Caenorhabditis elegans: one gene and its partners. The protein of the gene in region 2 purifies or fractionates together with the protein of the main gene of each other region. This does not show direct contact. Each region holds a gene or a part of one and is shown on either strand. Other genes may lie near its edges.

Region 1 (7,324 bases), on a different chromosome or scaffold from region 2:
TGGAAGTTTTTGCCGAACTAGGCCATTTTGGCTCGGCCATGTCTAGGGTAGATTTACGGCGCGTTGCGTGTCGCGTCGCGGCTCGATTTCAGTTGTAAAACTACACGGGGTTCTAGCCTTCCTCATTGAATTTTTCGCGCTCCATTGACAATCGCCCGCCGGATAACGCGTGGAAAAGTCGTGTACTCTACACGGACAAATACATTTAGTTTTACAACTAAAACCGAGCCGCGACGCGACACGCAACGCGCCGTAAATCTACCCCAGATATGGTCGAGCCAAAATGGCCTAGTTCGGCAAAAACTCTTCCATTTCAAGGGAAGCCAGAAGCGTGCGTACTCGCGAGTACGGTAACTGAGAAAAATTTTACAGTCGTGGTGGGACCCAGGTTACATGAAAACGCAATGATTTCTCACTGAAATCTTGTGAAAAATTGAAAAATAGAAGAAATTTTGAGTTATTTTTTCTGAAAAACTCGAAAACTCCTTTTAAATTTCGATTTCGCCCAAAAATTTAATTTTTTTGCAGCATCCAAATGTCGTTAAATTCTACGGAGTTGGTGCAAGCCAGGAGCCGCTGTACGTCATCATGGAGTTGGCGGATTGTGGAGCCCTGGACTCGTACCTTCAGAAGAATCCGAATTTGGTGCCCGACAAGAAGATGGAGATGATCTACCAAGCAGCGTGTGGAATCTCGTATATGCACGAGAAGAAACTTCTACATCGAGACATTGCGGCGAGAAATTGCCTGTATGGAGGTGGTCAGGTCAAGATTGCGGATTTTGGGTTATCCCGTGAGGGAATCTCGTATGTCATGGACCTGACGAAGAAGGTTCCGATTCGTTGGTTGGCTCCGGAGACGTTGAAAGCGGGGATTTATAGTCCGAAGACTGATGTGTTTGCGTTCGGTTAGTCTTTCCAATAACATTTTCAAATAAAATAGACATTTTTTCAGGAATAATGGCTTGGGAGATCACTGAGAATGGGAAGGAGCCGTACCCAGACATGAGAGTTGCTGACGTCGTCGGAAAGGTCCGTAATGGATACCGCATGCGGTTTGATCCGGTCTTTGTGGACTTCAGATTCGGCGACTATGTCACGGTTGGTTTGAATCTGAAATTATAGCTAATTACTAATTTCTCATTTTTCAGAAGCACTGCTGGGCTGAAAATCCGGCGGATCGTGTGAGCATGGCGGATGTTCTGCGCTATCTTCAGACAACTTTTGGGATGAAGCCAGTGGTTCTATCGATTCTATCGAGCAATCGCTCGACCGAGGAGGAGATGAAGACGATGAAGCCGCCAATGTTCTCGGTGAAGAGAAACAACAAGAAGAAGCCGAAGTGATCTTTGATTTGTTCGGAAATAAAGTTTTGATAGTTTTGACTTGAGATGTTAATAAAATTGTTTTATTACCCTGAGAATTCGAGAGAAGAATACGGTACCTGGTCTCGAAACGACAATTGTTTGTTAAATGCGTGAAGGTGTGCGCCTTTAAAGAGTACTGTAATTTAAAAATTGCGGTATTTTCTTCAATTTTTTTATTTCTTTTGATTTGTTAAAACATATACTGTTTTTTGTTAGTTTATTGATGAATAAATTCAATTTTTTTTACAAAAAAACTACGAAAAGTCGATAATTACAGTAATTTTCAAAGAAAGGCGCACAGATTTATTCAGATTGGTCTTGGCACGCAAAAAAGTTTATGGTAGTTTATTTTTGTGCGATTTTATCTATCGGTGAAATTACGATGTTAATTTTTTCAAATTCATATAGCGGATCTGGAAATATTTTTGACGTTGATAATTTTGTGTTTTATAGCCTGAAACCGACTTAAAATACAGAAATTTCTACAACCCAAAATTGTCGTAAGATCCGCTGCTTGCGGACATCAAGTGTCGTCGTTTATGACGTAAAGTCCGCAGATACACACACATGACTCATGAATTTGTTTTTATCGCTTTCTTGCGAAATTTAACTTATAAAAGCACTTTCTCACCGTAATTCTCGTATTTCAGAAACTCAAATACCAGCTTAATACACATAAAATCATCATGGGAGCCGGAGAAAGCAGTATGGCCTTGGAAAGTGAGTTTCAAATTGATTTCTCTTGATTTTGACTTATTTTCATGTTTTTATCTTCCAGAACACTTATTTGATCTTAAATTCGCAGCGAAACAGTTGGAAAAGAATGCTCAACGATGCGAGAAGGATGAAAAGGTCGAGAAAGACAAGCTGACGGCAGCTATTAAGGTAAAAAATAATTAAAAATGAAAAAAAAAACAATTATTTTTTAAATTCGATTTTTTCCAGAAAGGAAACAAAGAAGTCGCACAGGTTCATGCTGAAAATGCGATCAGGAAGAAGAATGAAGCAGTGAACTACATTAAAATGGCCGCCAGAATCGACGCAGTGGCCGCCCGAGTTCAAACCGCCGCCACACAAAAACGAGTAACCGCCAGCATGAGCGGCGTAGTGAAAGCCATGGAAAGCGCCATGAAGAGCATGAATCTCGAGAAAGTTCAACAGTTGATGGATAGATTCGAAAGAGATTTCGAAGATCTCGACGTGACCACAAAGACGATGGAAAAGACGATGGACGGAACGACAGTGTTGAATGCTCCGAAGTCACAGGTGGATGCTCTGATTGCAGAGGCCGCCGACAAGGCAGGCATCGAGCTCAACCAGGAGCTTCCGTCAAACGTGCCAACTGCTCTGCCGACCGGGACGCAAGCTGTTTCAGAAGACAAGGACCTCACAGAACGCCTGGCTGCTCTTCGCAACATGTGATCTTCCAGATTTCTCAAGAAATTTCTGTGAATATGAATATTCTGCTGACGGTTTCATTTTTAAAATTAAGATACTGCTTTTTTTCTTGTATATACAACATTTCTCTCAATAATGAAGCAACAATTTTTCTGCTTTTTTTTTGTTTTATCTAATCTATCTAGATCTACGAAGTTCAGCTCATGTCTTCTTCGAAATATTTATTCTTTTATTTTTCAGAACATTTTTTCTACAAATCGGTCGCTTACGTGTAGGCCACAACAATCACCGCCCGCGTTTCATTCTCTGCGTCTCTCGTCTTCCCACACTCTCTCTCCACATCGTCTTATCTCTCTCATCACTTGTTTTATTATTTTTATTCTTATTTTTCACGAATTTTCTATAAAAAACGGAATTTTCGAAGGTTTTTAAGGAAAAACGTGGCAGTTTTAAAGCTATTTTAAACATTTTTCGGCTAAAATTTCGAATTTCGGCTTTAATTAATTGATTCAAATTTAAAAATCAAATTCTGAACTCTGAAGTGTGTACTTTGACCCCGCCGCCGCTGTTTTTTTCGATCATTTCTTCATTTATTAATAAATAAATAAATTTATTCCCAGTTTTTCTTCCAGCCAAGCGATGAAGATTCTCGTCGGAGTCAAGAGAGTTGTCGACTATGCTGTCAAGGTAGGATTTCAGGAAAAAGAGCAAAAAATTCGAAAAAACAGCTTAATTTCGGCGAAAATCTTGAATTTCACCAACTTTTCCGTGTCGCAGCAGTTGGAAATCAGTTTTTTGTCATTTTTGGCTCAAAGTGTACCCCAATCAACGGAAAATCGATTAAAATTGGCAATAAAAGCTGATTTCCAACCGCTGTGACACGGAAAACTTGGATAAATTGGAGATTTTAGACACATTTCGATTCTATAAAAGCCCAAAATTTCCAGATCCGTGTCAAGCCGGACCGCTCGGGAGTCGTCACCGAAGGAGTTCAACACAGCATGAATCCATTCGACGAGATCGCTTTAGAGGAGGCCGTCAAGCTCAAGGAGAAGAAGCTCGCCACCGAAGTCGTCGCGTTCTCGCTCGGCGGACCAAAATCCGCCGAAGTGCTCCGGACCGCGTTGGCGAAGGGCGCCGACAAGGCAGTTCACGTTCAGGTGACCGACGCCGAAGCTGGCAAGCTCGAGTCATTCCACGTGGCGAAGGCGCTTCAGAAGATTGTCGAGCAGGAGAAGTTCGACGCGGTTTTTCTCGGAAAGCAGGCAATCGATGATGATTCGTCGCAAACTGCTCCGATTCTCGCTGGCCTGCTCGAGTGGCCACAGGCTCTCTACGCGTCGAAGGTTGAAGACGCAGGCGCTGGACACATGAAGGTCACCCGTGAAATTGATGGAGGTCTTGACACGATTAAGGTGATTCTTACTATATCGATCGATAGCCGTGAAAAGCAGCCCCGCACAGAACGCGAGACGGGGCTTGATATTGCAACCCTGCGGCACGGTTTTTCCTTTTTCCGCTTGTTTTTTGTTTGATTTTTTCAATTTTTCATGTTTTAATCTCTTTTTTCGAATGAGAACGTTATTTAATTTAAAATCAAAATTTATTAATCGATCCTTAAATTTTGCAAAAATTTGTCGCACAGAAAGTGGGGCGGAGCGTAGCTTACGCAACACTGCCGCACGGGGTTTGTCTCCGCCCCTTTTCCACTGCTTTTTTTGTTGATTTTTTCAATAAAGTTTCGATTTTTCTCTTTTTTTTCGAATTGGATTTTCATTCGAAAAAAAAAGAAATTATTGAAAAAATCAACAAGAAAAGCTTAAAAGCAGTAGAAAAGGGGCGGAGGCAAACCCCGTGCGGCAGTGTTGCAAAAGCTATGCCCCGCCCCACTTTCTGGGCGACAAAATTTCTTGCAAAATTCAAGGATCGATTAATAAATTTTGATAGTTAATTAAATAACGTTCTTATTCGAAAAAAAAGGAGATTAAAACATGAAAAATTGAAAAAGCGAAAAAAGGAGGAAAAACCGTGCCGCAAGGTTGCAAAATAACGCCCCGCCCCTATTTCTGCGCGCCGCTATTTTGTTTGCAAAATTCACGGATCTAAAGTTTTATTCGAAAAATTTTCTATTTTCCAGGTCAAAGTGCCATTCGTCCTATCCGCCGATCTTCGCCTCAACGAGCCCCGCTACGCGACTCTTCCAAACATCATGAAGGCCAAGAAGAAGCCACTGAAGAACATTCCAATCAAAGATCTGAATGTAGATATCACACCACAAACTGAAACTCTTGAAGTCACCGAGCCACCAGTTCGCCAGGCCGGAGGATTCGTCGACGATGTCTCGGCACTTGTCGCCAAGCTCAAGGAGAAGGGATTCGTCAAGGCTTAAGCCCCCGATAACCTCTTCCGCCGCTGAATTATTGTAGTAGTCGAATCAGAAAATTTTGTATTTAAATTATTTTTATTATTTTTTCTATTCAATGTTTTATGTGATGCAGGTTTAAAAAAGTATGAAAAATTATTTTTGTTCATAAAAGTGAATAGCTTGAACGGGAAACGATCAAAAAACGGAATGCATTGTTCACAAAACCATGGGAGAATTGGTGTAGGTAGATCTGGAAATATTACGGATTATTATCTGGGCGCGAAAAATTACGCGCCCCGCCCCTAAACGATGGGTCTCGTTAGGTAAATATTTGGCGGCAAGACGGGAAATTCAAATGTTTTACATTATTCTTGCCAATTTTTAAGCTTTTTTTCATATTTTTTATAAGTTTTAGGTCGAAATAACGATTACTTCCGACGATTTTACCCGTTTTCAAGCATTTTTCGTTATTTTTTATGTTTTTATGCCGAAATTATGGTTAAAAATGATTATGACATTAACTTTTTCAATTTTGACAAAAAAAAACTCATTGAAAACAGCGAAAAATGCTGGAAAATTGGCAAAAACGGTTTTCCCGCCAATTCCTAACGAGACCCAACGGTTTGGGGTGGAGATTTGTCCGTGGAGCGCAATTGCACTTTATAGTATTACGGAAACTCACACATTCTGAGAATGCGTACAGCGCAGCATATTTGACGCGCAAAATATGAAAATATCTCGTAGCGAAAACTACAGTAATTCTTTAAATGACTACTGTAGGCCGATTTACGGGCTCGAATATTGAAATGAATTTCATTTCGAATAGTGACAAAGATATTCAATTTTTCTTCGTTTTTCAAACAAAAAATCATTTTCGTAAATCGACACAAGTGCTACAGTAGTCATTCAAAGAATTACTGTAGTTTTCGTTACGAGATATTTTCATATTTTGCACGTCAAATATGTTGCGAAATACGCATTCTAAGAATTTTTAAGTTCCCGTAATATTGGAATTTTTGGAATGAAAAAAAAAAAGAAAAACTTACCATTCTAGTCTGAGAATTGCACTGGGGACATATGGATTTTGAGGGCGATGATGTGTTGAATGACTCGTATTTCGGAGATTTCATGCGGAACGACGTCGAGTCCCCACACCGGAATACCTCTGCCGACCTTGATGACGTCATCCGTAACGTGGCTCGCCCTGAAACGACGTGTCGTGTCTGCTCCCGCTGCTCATTGCACATTGAGAGCCTCGCCTGCCGCCGACGCCGCATCATCACACTCTCACCGTCGGATCTTCGTTCGATCAACAGAGTCAGCGAATCGGAGCGGGACATCCAGAATCGGAAGATGCTCGCCGCCTGATCTACGGAAACGGCGCGAAGTGAGATCTTGTTGCACCGGAGTAGACGATCGCCTTCTCGAAGATGTGTGCTCTGGAAGTTTTTTAGAATTTTTTTCGAAAAAAAAAGTGACCCCTAACTGAATTATGAGTGCAGCTAAGCATGTTGAGCTCAAGAAAAAAAGAAAAGAAAAAGTAGCGGCCATCCAATTATGTGTACCCGCGGCTCATCGGACTTGAGCGAGCCCTATTACTCATTCAAGTGCTCACTAAATTGGCTTTTTCTTCTTCTTTTTTCTTGGGTCTTGCCGCGATTATGCACATATGTGTATAATAATTTTTCCCCTATTGTGCGCCTTTAAAGAGTACTGTAGCTTCAAAGTTTTGTGGGATTTTTTTTGATTTCTCATAGTGTTTCGTTAAAAATCGATTTTTTTAATTAAAAAATTACTGAATTCGATTTTAAAATTTTTTGTTAAATATAAACGGGTGAGCGCCTTTAAAGGGTACTGTAATTTCGAACTTTCGCTGCTATGGAATTTTTTAAATAGATTTTTCGTAGTTTTTCGATAAAAATATATTTATTTATTTAAAAAAAGAAATAAAACAAAACATAAAAACTACGAAAAAATCGATGCAAATTTCATAGCAACGAAAGTTTGAAATTACAGTACTCTTTAAAGGCGCGCATCCATTTTTATTTAACAAACATTTTAAAAATTGAATTCAGTTTTTTAAATAAAAAAAAATCGATAAAAATCCCACAAAAGTTTGAAACTACAGTACTCTTTAGAGGCGCACAATAGGGGAAAAATTGTATGTGCATAATCGATAATTGTCGTGTACACGT
Region 2 (5,905 bases):
TCTTAGTGGTGGGGGTAATAATGTAAGTTTTTGGAATTTTTTGGGAAAGTAATTAAAAACCGTATTTATTTGAGTATAGGCGAACAAAATAGAATATTACTCTACCACCGTAGTAAGACCTGGAATACTATTAAAGTGGGCAAAAACGGGCAACATCGGGCGGTCCAGATCCCCATGAGCCTCTGCTCCTGCCCACAACTTTTCAATAATCGCCAATTGTCGCCCGTTTTCGTTTTTTTTGTTGCCCGTTACATGCTCGGCACGGTGTACTGTTGTCCAGATATTTCGATTTTCAGCATGTTGGTCATATTTGATGAGTACTACCACTGCGACATTACCGGATGCAAGAATAATGTTGCCAATCGTCAAAGAGTCATTGATGATGTGGAGATCAATTCACTTGACTTTGTCGATACTTCTCTTCAACATTACTGATAATTTTTTTGTATTTTTAATGTAGCTTTATGGTTTTTTTCTTCATTTGCATGATTCGTTTATATTGACGAGTGATTTTTTTTAAATTTTAATGGATTTTTTTGAAGTGGTATTTTACCATACTCCAGTACATTTTTTAAAAAGTATTTTCTATTTTATTAATCTTCAATATTCTTCACAGATGCTCCCATTTTTCAAAAACCCAGCCATCCAGTTTGCCTTCGTGGTTATTTTAGTATGCGCACTAGCGGTGTGGTAAGATTTGATTTTTCTTTAAAAACTCTTGAGTCAATTTTTATTTCCAGCATCTGCATGCTCATCGAGAGGGCCGACGGATTTTTCTGCCCATTGCCTCCAGAAGAGCTCCGGCGTATTGTGAACACTATTCCACCAAGGACCCCAATCGCAGCTCCTGTTAACCGTTGCCAAGTTGTTATTAAAATTGATCCCACAGAAAGCGATGTTGACATGACCAGTGAGAACGAAACACCGATACTCGGGTACGAGAGTGATGAGTTTGATCAGACTATCAATTTATGAACAGGTATTAAGATTGTAAAACTGTAAAAACATAGTTTAATAATATAATTTCAGCGTTCAAGACGTTTTATTTGTATGAATGAAAAAAACAATTTTGTGAGAATTTTCTGTGTAATTTCGTTACTTTTAAAACGGTAGAACTCCGGTTAAATCTTTTTTTTTCTTATGCTTGTTGAATGTTTATTCATTTTACATTAACTTCCAATTATATACACAATATGCTTCTTCCTGGTGTTTTGGCTGCATTGAGTTATTTGGTATTTGTGATTGCATTGGCCGTTTGCATGTCGTTGTAAGCTTCAATTCTGGTCTTCCACAGTTCAACATAAATTTTCAGAGTCTGTGCAGTGTTCGGAGCAAGAATGAGCTCACCGTCACACTCTAATCTCGAAAAAGAAGAATTGAACAAAATCAATGTTGTTAAAAGTTATTATACAGCTGAGAAAAATTTGAATGATGCATAGCAATAAAAATAAGTGTTATATTGTGATTTGTAAATTTGAAAAGTGGTTTTAAACCCAGAGATTACGTAATTAATTGTGCTCATTGTTCAAATAGCTCAAAAAAAAAACTTCAGAATTTATTTTATCATTGAGAGCACCATTCCGCCACTCGTTGTTCTGCTGCTGGTTTGCCTGGCTCTAGTCTGGGGAGTGATTGTGTAATTAAATAATATTCAACGTTTTGCAATGAACAATTGAATTTTTCAGCGCGTGCTATATTGCTGATGTCGCATGGGCAGTATGTTTTGCGGGAACTGCAATCAAGTCAATACAAAAAGCCCGACAACGTGAAGGCATACAGTCACGAGTTTTTGTTGTGGAGCGCTCATATGAAAGAAATGAATTCTGTGAGGAGATGATTAAAATGATTTGAAATCTTGTGACAAAATTATTAAAAGTAAGTATTATTTTTTTTTTGGGTACGGTAGGGATGTACGGCAAATACTTTTGCAAACGTACAAAACTTTTAATTTCCTAATTATAACTTTTTGTATAACAAAGTTTATATTGCAATGTAGGGAAGTAAGTTTGAAAAAATTTTAAAGAGTATGCCGAGATACATTTTGATTTGCAATCAAAAGGATCCATAAATTAATCTCTTAAAATTTTAAAGAATGGATCGTAAATGACAAAAGTACAGTAAAGTTGGGTTCATTATTTTTAAAACTTAAAATGCCAGTACTAAAAAAAACTTTCAAAACTTTTGTTAATGATTTAAGAATTAGTTTGCAATTTTATTTTAAATTTCTTCGTATTTTTAAGTCGTTTCTCTAAACTTTTATAAAATTTATTAAGGATTTTTTCCTTATTTTTGAACATGTTCATTGTCAGTGAGAAAATAAGTAGAAAGGCAGGAAATTTCGGGGAAACATATATTTTTTTCAAAACTGAGAGCATATATTTTTCAGGTCTGAATGCAATACTATTGTAGACATTTGTCATTGTTAGCACTGCACAGATTAATTATTGATCTCCTTTTTTTGTTAATGAATGTTGATGTTACATATGTCAATTTCTGAACAATTTTTCATATCGATTTTGGTTGAAACCAATAAGTATACCTGTATATTTAATTAATTATCCTTCTTAACTTTTTGTTAGTTTCAATTACTATTTCGCAAACCTGCATGACTTGTTTCAACATGGACATCATCAAATGCATCTATCTCATCTTGCTCCTAATTTGGTCAATATTTTTGTAAGTGACGATGATCTGAAATTATTTTTAAATAGTTATGGAAATTATAGCATCATCCTATTCATAACTCTCATCAGAGAATGGTTCTTCCCACAGCCCCGTTTTTTCGAAAGATTTGAGGATGAAGAGGAGCCAAGTCGTCCACAAGGATTTGTATCTCTTGACGTGGAGCAACTGGAGCAAATGCATGGGCTGGAAGTATATGCTGCCAACAAAGTGATCATAGACACTGTTCCACTTCTTCCTATTTAAAGTAAGAAAAATGTTCGTAAATTTTTTCAAAATTTTATTACAGACGATCAACATGCACCATATGTATTCATAATTTGTAACAACGATAAAATTGAAATACAGTAGTATAGACTATTTCTTTTTAGTAGCTCTCGAATAACTTTTTTGTGGATAAATTTTAGCGTGCCCTTCCGTTTTGGTTAATATTTTGGTATTGTTAGGTTGCCAAACCATAACTATTATTTTGGTTTGATCAGAGGTGTGCGGTAATTGGTAAGTTGAGCAATTGCTGGTTTTTGAATTTGCTGCAGTGAGCAATTTTGGAACTGGCTGAAATTGCCCAAATTTCGGATTACTGGAATTCTTAAACTTTTCTTAAACCATATTTATGATTGTAAAATTTAACCTTGACGTAATTCATGTGTTAATTATTTCGTCAGACATTTTTTTTCTGTGTGAGGAGTAAAAATTCTGGTCTAAAATGCATACATGTACACGCTTTTATAAAACATTTCAATTCTCATTATCGGCGATTGAAAAATATATCGCACACATCTCATTTCAAGATTCAGATACCTCATTTTTATACAACTCAAACTTTACCATGGACGTCCAGAATTTAGTGACCATTGGATTTTTGATAGTTATCGGTTTGACTTCGGCGGTGGTCATGTAATTTCTTATTCCACTTTCAAAAAATAATTCAATTTTATCCAAAATTTTAGAATTTGGTACTTCATTGCCGAGGTGTTTCAAAACATGCATAAACACATTGCTCGAACCACAGTCATCCGAGTTGAAGCTACCATTTAGAGGTTGCTGTCATCTATTTTTTTCAAATTTTTTAATGGGAATTAATTTCAGAAATTGTACTGCTAATCATAGATGTTTCCTGATACACCCTACCGATTGCCCATTACTTTTTTACACCAATAAACGTATTTAAATTATTACCGATTTATCTTCTATTACTATATCCCACAAGGTTGTTAATCCTTGTCTCATATTTATAAGTTTCATTTTTTGTTCAACATTCCGAATTATTTGTCAGATGGAAACAGCTCAAACAATCAAATATCATGTTCCGCCGATGCTCATTTTTTTGGTTGTTGTCCTCTCGTGTCTCAGGTGAGAACAAAGTTTTCAGGAGTCTTTTAAAAAACAAAATGAACATTTTTGAATTTCCAGCATTGGTTTTTTGGTAGACTACATCATGCAAAAGTACGGTTGCTGTGGACGGAGAGGAAGTTGCTGCCGGCCAGAGCTGGAAGGAGATGAGGACGCTGAGAACGCTCAAGGGTCTATACCCCTAGCATCACTTGGAACAACTAACGACCCATTACCAGGAAGACTACCATTGCTGTCACGAGCTCCTATCAACAATTCACGCGTTTAAGTGTCTTATTGTATTATTTTCCCAATTGCTATAACCCGCATAATCATACCACACATTTCAATAAATTGTCATAATTATCATTGAAACCTAGAGAGAACATAAGTTTGTGTTTAATTTTTATATGTATAAAGTTATTACTGAATAAATTGGCAATTTCAAAATGATTCCATTTAGCCCCAATTTGCAATATATACGAAAATTAGATCAATAGGTTTTTGTCATGTGTCCCTTTTTTTCGTACTGTTGTGTAGTATCCAGTTATAGAATTATTTCCAGACATTACAAAAACATTCTCTATATATCAACAAACTCGAATTATTTTGTTTTAAAAGCGTCGCTGCTCAGAGAATTCAATGGCTCCGTATCACACTGAGCAGCGACTCATGCAAATTCAAATTGTAATTGTTTACTGAGTTTGAATCTATGCACTCATAGATTATTGGCTCGGCCAGTACATACTTGCAAGTCTCTCAATCAATTAAGAATAGAGGTTTATGTTTTTGATGTGTTTTTTACACAGTATTTGCTCTTCGCCTCCAATCCCCCTTGCCCTCTTCACCACTTTTTCATGTTCCCTTTCCAACATTTTTTTGTGCGCATATAGCATCTGCCAATTTTCTTCCATCTACTCAATCTGTGCATTGCCCCGTGATGAGCAGCGAGTGACGAATATCTGGGCAATAAACGGAGTGATGAATACAGTCAAAGAGGCGCACAGAAACACAGAGATCCGCTGCACATAAGTTTCTTCGTCCCTCCTTCTCGACTCATGTACCATTTCCCAGTTCTCATTATCACATTGTGTTGCTTCCACTATAGATTTAATTGTTTTCTTGTTTCAGGCTCATCATGAAGTTAGCGACTGCCGGGATCATATGTATCCTGATGTTGATTAATTGTGGACTCTTTGTGAAAACAGACCAAATTGAGGTAAACTTCAAATATGTTTATCAGATTTAAAAATTGATTTTTTTTTCAGGCCGGAAATACCAGCAGCATTACGGAAAAGTCTACAGACACTGCAACGTTGGATGTGTCTATCGAAGAAGTTGGTGCTACTTACGATTGTTTCGCTTGGTGGCAAGAAACGGGATTTCTCTTCTGGGCATCGCTTTGCGGAATTGTGTAAGTTTTTTTTTGTTTTAGAGCATACCAGTAGTGTGTTTTACAAATTTTTCCTGCCGACGTTTGATAACTTTCTGTGTAATTGTGAAAACTTTCTGTCCCAGTTTGATAATTTGTTGTCGGTGTAAGCTGACCTTACAACTATCTGCCAACAAGAAAGTTTCCTCCAAACACTGAGACTTGTGCTTCACTAGAAACTTCACTAGGCAACCCAGAATCTTACGCCTACAAACCCCGTTCAACATATTGAAACTCAAAGTTCTAAATTTTTAGATTGACAATCCTGATGTACCTCTTCACCAGCCGCCTTATCAAAGAGGTCCGTAGAATGAAGAAAGAAAGCAAGCTTCTCATCCGTCTTAGGAACTACTTCTCGGACTTCCTCGCTGACCCGTGCAGTTCGAGAAACGCCTACGCAAAAGCATACGGAAAGGAAGACAACGAAAGCATCAAAAGTGAAACCATCTCTGTGGACCT
Region 3 (9,793 bases), on a different chromosome or scaffold from region 2:
CTCACTTGTCTTCCAAGAAACCTTGTCTCCTCACTGCCGAGTATCTCACAGCTATTACCAAAGCCGATGCTAAGAACAATCCCTGATCCATTGCCATTCGACTTCTCACTTTTACCATACTCGAGTACCCAATCTTTGCATGAGAAGGTTTTATATAAGTCCCATTTGCTTCTACTTTGGTATGTCTCATCAAAAGATTTGTTCTTGGAATTCGGTGGTTATTGAAGCCAAGATATCCATTATCCGCTCCATTGAATGCCATTTTCGGGCCAATATCTCCAACTACGATTCCTTTTAGTGGAATATGAGTCTTCTCATCTCTCAGTTGAACCATGAAAGGATGTGGTCCATAGTTTTGGTCTTTGATAAGCAAATTAGCAACTACTATAGCGTTGTTGGAACTCTTCCCGAGTGCTCCGGGCCACCATTTGAGAGCTGTGATGGTTGGGGTGTTCAGGATGAATTCCTGGGTGTCCGGGGAGTAGGTGGCTGTGGTTTCAAGTTTTCGGAGATTGGTACCTAAAACCTACATTTTATTGTTATTTCTGAACATGGCGGTTCATTCTTTGACCTACGACTGAGCGCTAATAATTAAAAATTCTAAGAGTGAGCAGAACATTTTCGAATCTTGGTCGAAGATTGAGTCATATTTTGGATAAGTTTCTGGATCAGACTTCAAGCTTCAAAGCTTCAAGCTTCAGACTTCATCAAGCCTTCTAGACGGTCTTGCTCTAAAAGTTGGTCAAAGAAGGGTGAGCTCTTCCCAAATATCGATAGTTTTAGCTATAAATTTGTAACCTACTAGCATCTCTCGAGATGTAGTATCTCAACAAATTGTGACTTCCTACTATTTCAAGTATGGACAAGATTACTGTAACGATACGGCATACAAGTAAATAACCCCAATACTCACCATGACCCATCTCGGTCTGTGCATAACATCCAATAATCTCCTTCCTTCTAGCTCTCCCCAACCACTTCTCCTGCTGCTCTTGGCTCGCCTGTGCAACCAAAGTCGGTATGAACATTGTATCGTGAAGCGCCAACGGATGTCCCTCCATCCCCAATACCTCTCTGAAAAGTGATCATTAGTTGCAAGTTTGCTCCAACTAATACCTGTAGATGTGCAGTGCATCTTCTTCGTTGTCTCTGTTGAACGGGGTCTGATTCCAGTGTCGACTCAAAACCTCCAGCTTTCTACAGGACTCAGCGATTTTTTCCTCTCGTGTCATGAAAACTAGGGGTTTGGATTCTGCAAGCTCATGGATCCGGGAGATGGATTCAGTGAGTTGTCGACGGCGACTAGCAATCTGGAAAAGCCAACGGAGATTCTAAGCTGAATTTTAAAGCATATTTCAGGCCGGTAGAGTGACAAAAAAAAAGTAAATTTTCCCAAAAACTAAAATTTTAAAGCCTGGACGACCAAAAATCAGGCAGTTGAATGGATGCACTTTCTGCCGGGGACGGACTAACCGCGGGCCTCAGTTGTTCACCATCGAACCGTCTACGGCATTTTCATACGCCATTTGGCCTTTTGCTGCCTGTAATTTGTAGTCTATTTGCCCCCCTTACCTCTTCACGTCCATATATCACGGCAGCCATCTTATCCGTATCAAAAGTCGCATTCTTTCGTTCTTCTGTGAGATCTGAGTTATCTCCTTTGCAAATTGAGCTCATTGTACAGTCTGAAAATCGGAAAACTTAAAGGAATACATTACATTTGCAGGAGTTTCGTTTTTATAATATTTGATTTTATAACACAACATATGAGATAGAATATTTGAAAAATTTTCCAAATTCAGGTAGAACTAGAACAATGCCATAAAATCCTCAATGAGGACTGTAAGAACCAATTAACTAACTGTTATATACAAAAAATTGTAAAAAGTGTAATTTAAGAAAAAAAATCATCATTATTAAAGTGCAACAATAATTGTTTGCATTCTGAAAAATGTTGCCAATATTTATCAATTTCTTATCACATATGTATACATCAGTTGGTCTGTGATGATTTTGAATAGTTTGTATTTGTTGCTCTCTTTAGTCTGTTGACGTATTTATTTTTTAAAAGTAATATAAGAAAAATTAAAAAGTTAAAGCTTCGCCTTTTCCATCATAGGCTTTAAGTACTTCTCGACTGACGGTAGAACATCTGCGTTGTTCAAGGGACTTGACTTTGCCCATTTGAAGAGATTCTCGTAGACGTGACCATCCCGGCGGCCAAGGACCTAAAACCTCTGTGTTTCATAACTACATTGTCCCAAAATACTTACAGATCTCAATTGCATATCACTAATCTGAAAAGAGTCAACTAGAGATACTGCATTTGGTCGAATCTTCTCCAGATACAAATATAGTTGATCTCTAACATAATCCAACTGAGTGAATGACATGAATTCCAGTGCATACGTGGCAACATCCAATAGTTCATAGTTGACATGAAGATGGAGAAGATCTGTTAGAACCTCTTTCACTGGAATATCTTCAATTCGAGACACTCTTCTCATAAAAGCTTCGATTATGAATAGACGGGTGTGTAGACGGCTAGCCTGAAATTGCTGGGTGTAAAAATTGATATTTCTGGGTATACATTGCAACATTCTAATTTTTTTTAAAGTATCAGTATTTGCACACCCTTTTTAAGAATTTGGTTCAAAAACCAAAACATTTCTTCAAACCAATGAAGGTTGCATTTAAATGATAAGGTGGTTACTATCTGTTGCACTTTTGTTAACTGTGTGTTTTAATTTACATAACTATGCTTGCCAGATATTATTTCCTAGTAGCAATACAAATTATATACAACCAGTCGTTCGCATGCACAATTTGCGTACTGGCGAACGCTAAATTGTTCTAATAAATTTTAAATTGCTCATGTAACATTTTTGTACAGTTACACAATTTCCTGAAGTTTTGCGGACTTTCAAGAAAATTCTAAAACTTTCCAACTTTTATTTTAAAAAATTCTAGACTTTTCCAGATCTTTTCAGAAAATTTTAGCACTTTCCAGATTTTTTTCAAATTTTAGGCGCATTTTTTTTGGGAGAATTTATGTAGTTTTCATAACTTTAAAAATTGCCTTAAAATGAACTTTTTTGAAAATGTTTCTTCGGGGACTTGTTTCAAATTTTAAGGGCTTTCAGAATTTAATTACAAAAATTTTCTAGGGTCCAGAAGCTTCCAGTTCAATCAAAAAAACTGACCTTGGCATATAAATTACCGCATTTTTTTATTGGGATATTTTTTAGTTTTAATAACTTATAATAATAATGATATGTCTACAGGCCTTTCTTTGTGTATCTTCGAAAATTGGGCAAACAACTGAACGACATAGTTTGGATCTAGATTTCTATTGTATATTTTTGAACCACGAAAAAAACCACATCAGAGCTTTTGGAACTCAATAGTGGTAAATGTTGTAGATAAACTTACTCTAGTCAACTCCACTGCTGATTTATTCCATGCCACTTCTCTTGATTCCCCACTTTCCATCAATTTCAAGAATTTCTCTGTTGCTTTCCAAGCCTGCCTTCTAGCCATGTTCTCGAACATCTTTACATATCCATTCAGGCTGGTTAGATCAGTTTCATCACTCTTGTCTGCTAGATATGATGCCACTGGTCCTAATTTCTTAGCTTTACCGGCCTTGATAAGTTCCACGGATTTCACTAAATACCGTGCAAGTTGCAGGAGCATCACCATGTTCTCCCCTTCATAAGTGCATCCGCCAATAGCAATCCCATATACGACAGATATATAACTAGCCTGAAACAACTCCATAAAATGCTTTTTCTTTTTTACTTGATTTTCAAAACCTACCATAGAGTATCCATGTCCACCACAAGCCATCCTCGCCTGTTCAATACCTTCTCCAGTTTCATGAGCAACAACTGATTTTAAACCAGAAGTCAATGCATGTAAATCAGCCATTCCAGATGTATTACCCATATCAACATCTTTTAATAATTGAGAATATAAGTGAATTGTCTCAAATCCAGTGAATATAAATGCATACGCACGGGCTAATGATGGGAATAGACGATGCTGCTGGGTCTGGTAGTCAAGGACTTTTACTTCGACTTGCCTGGAATTTCTGGGTGGTAGAATTGAAGGTTAACGATTAATTGGGCATCGGATTTTAGTTCAAATTTCAAAGTGAATTCAGAATTTTTGGTTGTCGAAAAAATCTGAAAAAAAAGGTGAATACGTTTACATGCTATGCTACCTTTTGACAGTGACCATTGCAATTTTAATTTTTTACAAAATTACACAACTTGCTCCAAATTTTCCAGAGATCCCTGTAGGTTAAAGATAAATCTGAAGACAAAAAACGTTTCCTAGATAGAGCAAATAACATTTGAATAGTTGTGGTACTTTATGTCCAATAAAAACCACTGTTCAACTCACTTATCATCCAAATGTCCTTGCCTCCTCACTGCCGAATACCTCGCTGCAATTGTCAATGCATGTGCTAAAAACAACCCCTGCTCCATAGCCATCTGACTTCTGATCTTCACCATTCCAGAGTACCCGATCTTTGCATGCGGTGGCTTCACATACGTCCCATCCGCCTCTACTTTGCAATGTCTCATCAAAAGATTTGTTCGTGGAACTCTCAAGTTGTTCAACCCAAGGTACCCATTATCCGCCGCATTGAAGTTCATTTTAGGCCCGATATCTCCTACGGTAACGCCTTTTAGTGGAATATGGGTTTTTTCATCTCTCAGCTGCACCATAAAAAAGTGGGGGCCATAGTTATTTCTCTTTATAATCAGTTCAGCTACAACCAATGCATAGTTACAGCTCTTCCCAAGTGCTCCAGGCCACCACTTCAACGCCGTTGTCGTAGGAGTATGTAGTACAAACTCCTGGGAAGCAATGTCATAGACTGCAGTTGTTTCAAGATTCCTAAGATTTGAGCCGTGACCGAGCTCAGTTTGCGCATAACATCCAATGATCTCTCGTCGCCGAGCTCTCTCGAGCCATTTCTCCTGCTGTTCATCACTAGCCTGTGACTGAAGGGTTGGAATAAACAAAGCGTCATGGAGAGCGAAGGGATGACCCTCGTAGCCAATCACTTCTCTGGAAAGTGGGAATTTACCTGATTGTGAGAAAAGTTTAAAGGAAAAGTGGCAAACATTTGAGGTTTATTTTTTCAAAATTTTTCATGGAAGCTCTTGACGGAAATCGGTAGGCGCTAGCATATACTTCAGAACAAAGTTGCAAGCAAGCAGATAAACAATACTGTACCAGTTAACAAATTTTCTATAAACCTAAATAAAACCGACGTATGAGACAATTAAGTGAGATCTACCAAATCACACTGAATTTGAAAAGAAAATCCTTACCGATGCAGGTGCAAACTTTCTTCTTCATTATCTCTATCAATCAGCTGATTCAGATATTTTGTCAAAATCGATATTTTTCTGGTGCCCTCGGTCACCTTCTCCTCTCGAGTCAAAAATGGATAGGGCTTGATGTCGGCGAGCTCAGGGATCTTGGACACGGCGTCGGTGATCTCACGACGGCGACGAGCGAACTGAACAAATAATTTTCTATGTATTAAGACAGTTTTTTTTTCATTTAATAAGTTGACAATTAATTATTTCAAAAAAAAATGCAATCAACCAAAGTGAGGCACCAAAGTTTGAATCATTCGAAACATGGTGCATCGACGGGGATAATTTCCCTCATAAACTATGATAGTTCATTTCCCTGTTTCTTTACTGTCCAAAATCTTGATACATATGTATGTTCATGGTTTGCTGAAACCTTTACACACTACTAGAAACATTGACTTTTGCACTTTCCTGCTGATTGACAGAATATGTATTTCGTTTTATGGTCTCTATCTCTCAGAAAAAATAGTGGCTATCTAATCTTACCTAATAAAAAAAATTTTTCCGACAAAGGGAAAACGACGAAAATTGATTTTTGTGGAATTACAGGGATTTTATTGTTCAATGCCACGTGGTGGAACATGTCGTTCTAACTGATTAAGTTATACGGTGCGAAACATACATGGTCTCCACTTAAGGTATACAATATTTTTCAAGAACATGTATGTATACATTCCATTGTGCTTTAAAACATTATAAAATTTCAGCTTTGATAACTCTTGATTCATACTAAAATTATGTATAATCTGATTTTCTATTAGCCTAATAAAGCTTGTAATCAATAGTTTGTAGTTTGCAGTCCTTACCTCTTCACTTCCATAGATCACCGCTGCCATCTTATCCGTATCAAAAGTTGCCATCCTCCGTTCTTCCAGCAATTCGGGGTTATCTCCATCACGAATTGATCGGTTCGCCATGTTACTGATATCAACAAAAAAGAAGAATGGATGGATGAACTGATGGAAAGGGTATAAAAGGAGTGATGGGCGGAGTTGTGATTATTGGCCTGTACTATTTATAAGTGCAATGTTTGCATTTTCAAATATTTAACAGTATAAGCAAAGAGTATGCAAGAGAAAAAAAAATCAAAAATATAAATTAGAATTATAGCTTGCTCTGCCTGGCTTTTTCCATCATTGGCTTCAAATATGTATCCACTGACGGAAGAACATCTGTCTTGTTCAACGGACTTTCCTTTGCCCACTTGAAAAGGTTCTCGTAGACATGACCATCACGGCGGCCTAGGACCTGAAATTTCAGTTATTTAATTTTAGAACCCATTAGCTTTGGAACTTACAGATCTCAGCTCTCTATCACTAAACTCCCAGGAATCTAGCAATGAAACTGCGTTTGGTCGAATTTTCTGGAGATAGAAGTACAATTGATCTCTGACATAATCCAACTGAGTGGATGACATGAATCCATCTTCCAGTGCATACGTGGCAACATCCAAAAGTTCATAGTTGACGTGAAGATGGAGGAGATCGCTGAGAGCCTCTTTGATGGTGATATCTCCGATTTCGTTGACTCGTCTGGCAAAGGCTTCGACGATGAAGAGGCGGGTGTGGAGGCGACTCGCCTAGAAATATATACTTTTCGGACTTTTAATTTTAAGAGTGTCGCTTTTGTTACAATGTCTTAAGCTAGTGTGTTCAGAATCTTTAGTCATCTTTAACTTTAAATACGGCTCTGGTATCTAGTATGCACCCTAATATAGAGCCCAAAAAAGGTTTCGGATTTACAAAATTCTACCAGATTTCACCAGTTTTTGCTACATAGCAAATGCACTTTTCCAACATTTTGGTGTTTGAACTAATTTTCCTAGTAAGGTTGCAGGGACAACTGATAAGAATTCAATGATTGTTGACAAATATTGATAAACAAGCTCAAAAGTGCATCTAAAGTTTTGCAGGTTTTGCATTTTCTGCAAGGAAATGGGCAAATGGACATCAAGGCCACAATGTACCATCACTCGTATTCTCAAAAATCACAAGCATAAGTCAAACATACCCTATTCAACTCCACGGATGACTTGTTCCAGGCGATTTCTCTCTTTTCTCCATTCTCCATTAATCCGAAGAACTTGTTGGCAGCCTTCAACGTCTGTCTCTTTGCGATATGTTGGAATGTCTTGATGTATTCCGTGATTCCACCATTTGGAACTCTATCTATCAGGCTAGTTGGCTCACTTCTGGCGCCCAAGTAGGCTACCAGTGGTCCAAGCTGAGAAGCTTTTCCGGACTTCACAAGGGCAGCGGATTTGACGAGGTAACGAGCGAGTTGAAGAAGCATAACCATATTTTCTCCTTCATACGTGCATCCTCCAATTGCAACTCCGTAGATTTCAGAGATGTAACTAGCCTGAAACATTCCTTTAGAATTTGCAATTTCAATTATAACATTCCTACCATAGAATATCCATGCCCACCACAAGCCATTCTCGCTTGTTCGATACCTTCTCCAGTTTGATGAGTAACAACTGATTTTAAACCAGAAGTCAATGCATGTAAGTCAGCCATAAGAGACACATTTCCAGATTTCATCTCCTTGAGTACTCGTTCGTAAAGCTTCACGGTCTCGGCACCAGCAAACTGGAAAGCGTAGGCACGGGCGATGAATGGGAAGAGACGGTGCTGCTGGGTTTGGTACTCGAGCACTTTTACCTCTGGTTCACTGGAAAGAGGATAAGTGAGGATGGGGTTTGCAAGTAATTAAGTTTCTCGTAATTCGCACGTGGTGTCAAAGTGTCCCATTTTGGTTTGTTCTACGAAAAATGCGGGAGAAGAGATGCAGATTTTTCAACTGATTTTGCGTGATGACGTCACATTTTCCTGGGGGAAAATTCCCGCATTTTTTGTTGATCAAACGTAACATTTTTCGTAACATTTACGTTGTATTGTTTAACAGGCGTAATTCATATCGTAGTTCGTAATTCGTAACAGTAACAAAACTGAGAAGTTATGTAAGTTGTGAGTGGCACAGCGAAGTCTGTTATTTACGGAACTTCTATATATAAAGGTAATAGACGTACTACATAGGTATGCACATAAAAGTATTGATGTATAGTTATAGTTATGATCATTCTTACTAAAGACGAATCTATTTTCAAGCCATGAAATAAGCTTTTTAGTTATGAAAAATATATTTAGAGATAGCTCAACCCAAGAAATTCAACCTATAACCCTTTTTTATTTTACTAATAGTAGTTGGTATTCTTCAGATCTTATTCATAAAAGTTCCAACTTACTTTTTATCAATCTGCCCCTGTCTTCTCACTGCCGAGTATCTTGTTGCAATATTCAACGCATACGACAACATAATCGCCTGTCCAGTAAGCATATAACTTCTCACATGTACCATTGCAGAGTAATTGATCTTTGCATGTGGTGGTTTGATATAAGTCCCGTCAGCCTCTACTTTGGTATGTCTCATCAAAAGATTCGTTCTTGGGATACGGTAGTTGTTGAAGCCTAGGAATCCATTGTCTACAATATTATAAGCCATTTTTGGTCCAATATCTCCAATTGTAATCCCTGGAAGTGGTTTGTGAGTTTTCTCGTCTCTCAATGGAACCATGAAGGTATGTGGTCCAAAGTTCTTTCCCTTTATATACATATGTGCAACTACAACTGCATAGTTGCTGCTTTTTCCAAGATTCCCTGGCCACCACTTCAATGCGGTGATCTTTGGAGTGTGAAGCACAAACTCCTGAGTTCCAATGTCATAAGTAGCAGTTGTTTCCAGATTTTGAAGATTTGTGCCATGACCCATTTCAGTTTGGGCGTAGGTTCCGATGATTTCTCGTCGGAGCGCTCGAATGAGCCACTTGGCTTGCTGCTCATCACTAGCTTGAGCGTTGAGGGCTGGAATGAACATCACACCGTGAAGAGCCATAGGATTTCCTTCGATTCCGAGAACTTCGCTGGAAAATTATTGATTTTCTGGGAAAATGCTCAGTTTGAAGAGCTCTTTCATTATTAAACTTGTATTTTTGTATTATTCTACTTTGATTTTTGATATGATAAACTAAAGTACAGTGAGCGTAACTTCTTTAGAATCGCCCTTAATCTGGATGGTTTCGCACGTAAAAAAAAAATGAAAGTTCGGCGATGTTTTCAAAAATCTCATGAGATCCCAAAGAATTGCTTTTCCTTATTTTTACGTTATCATAATAAAATTTTTGTACCAAAAACTATTTCATATGCTGAATCTGATTTCTAAATTAATTTTCCATGTAATTTTAGGAAAAATCCTAAGCCTGTCAAACGAAGGGTATTAGTCCAAGAAAAAAGTCCACTTACTTGTTCAAATGATACAACTCGCCTGCATCAGTTGGATCAATGATCTCTGACATTCTTTGTGTCAAAACCGTCAGTTTCCTAGCACTTTCCATA

What was found. Proteins that work in one complex are often made in the same cells at the same time.
Region 1: the proteins of R160.10 (region 2) and etfb-1 fractionate together in Caenorhabditis elegans (co-fractionation; one large-scale study listed by BioGRID). This does not show direct contact.
Region 3: the proteins of R160.10 (region 2) and acox-1.2 fractionate together in Caenorhabditis elegans (co-fractionation; one large-scale study listed by BioGRID). This does not show direct contact.

The regions. Positions count from the first base shown.
Region 1 is NC_003279.8:2,416,426-2,423,749, reverse strand, and holds etfb-1 (Electron transfer flavoprotein subunit beta), read left to right. Parts: upstream 1-3,396; 5' UTR 3,397-3,403; coding exon 3,404-3,451; intron 3,452-3,711; coding exon 3,712-4,179; intron 4,180-4,901; coding exon 4,902-5,153; 3' UTR 5,154-5,289; downstream 5,290-7,324. Other genes in the region: F23C8.7 (Tyrosine-protein kinase), read left to right, coding at 529-907, 955-1,100, 1,151-1,345; did-2 (Charged multivesicular body protein 1b), read left to right, coding at 2,053-2,086, 2,145-2,251, 2,312-2,788; F23C8.13 (PDZ domain-containing protein), read right to left, coding at 5,293-5,379, 6,176-6,568.
Region 2 is NC_003284.9:4,365,566-4,371,470, reverse strand, and holds R160.10 (uncharacterized protein), read left to right. Parts: upstream 1-3,956; 5' UTR 3,957-3,958; coding exon 3,959-4,035; intron 4,036-4,095; coding exon 4,096-4,303; 3' UTR 4,304-4,445; downstream 4,446-5,905. Other genes in the region: R160.13 (uncharacterized protein), read left to right, coding at 1-22, 297-435; R160.5 (uncharacterized protein), read left to right, coding at 617-690, 741-935, 1,313-1,439; R160.4 (DUF4845 domain-containing protein), read left to right, coding at 2,621-2,676, 2,727-2,928; R160.3 (Leucine-rich repeat domain-containing protein), read left to right, coding at 5,153-5,233, 5,283-5,428, 5,702-5,905.
Region 3 is NC_003279.8:12,938,831-12,948,623, reverse strand, and holds acox-1.2 (Acyl-coenzyme A oxidase acox-1.2), read right to left. Parts: upstream 6,345-9,793; 5' UTR 6,317-6,344; coding exon 6,206-6,316; intron 5,540-6,205; coding exon 5,349-5,539; intron 5,083-5,348; coding exon 4,408-5,082; intron 4,085-4,407; coding exon 3,820-4,084; intron 3,766-3,819; coding exon 3,433-3,765; intron 2,550-3,432; coding exon 2,274-2,549; intron 2,229-2,273; coding exon 2,094-2,228; 3' UTR 2,036-2,093; downstream 1-2,035. Other genes in the region: Acyl-coenzyme A oxidase acox-1.3, read right to left, coding at 6-519, 914-1,074, 1,117-1,310, 1,573-1,677; Acyl-coenzyme A oxidase acox-1.1, read right to left, coding at 6,504-6,647, 6,697-6,978, 7,410-7,760, 7,808-8,072, 8,647-9,321, 9,701-9,793. UniProt on the Caenorhabditis elegans protein: Involved in the first step of peroxisomal beta-oxidation by catalyzing the desaturation of fatty acid-derived side chains of ascaroside pheromones, which regulates development and behavior.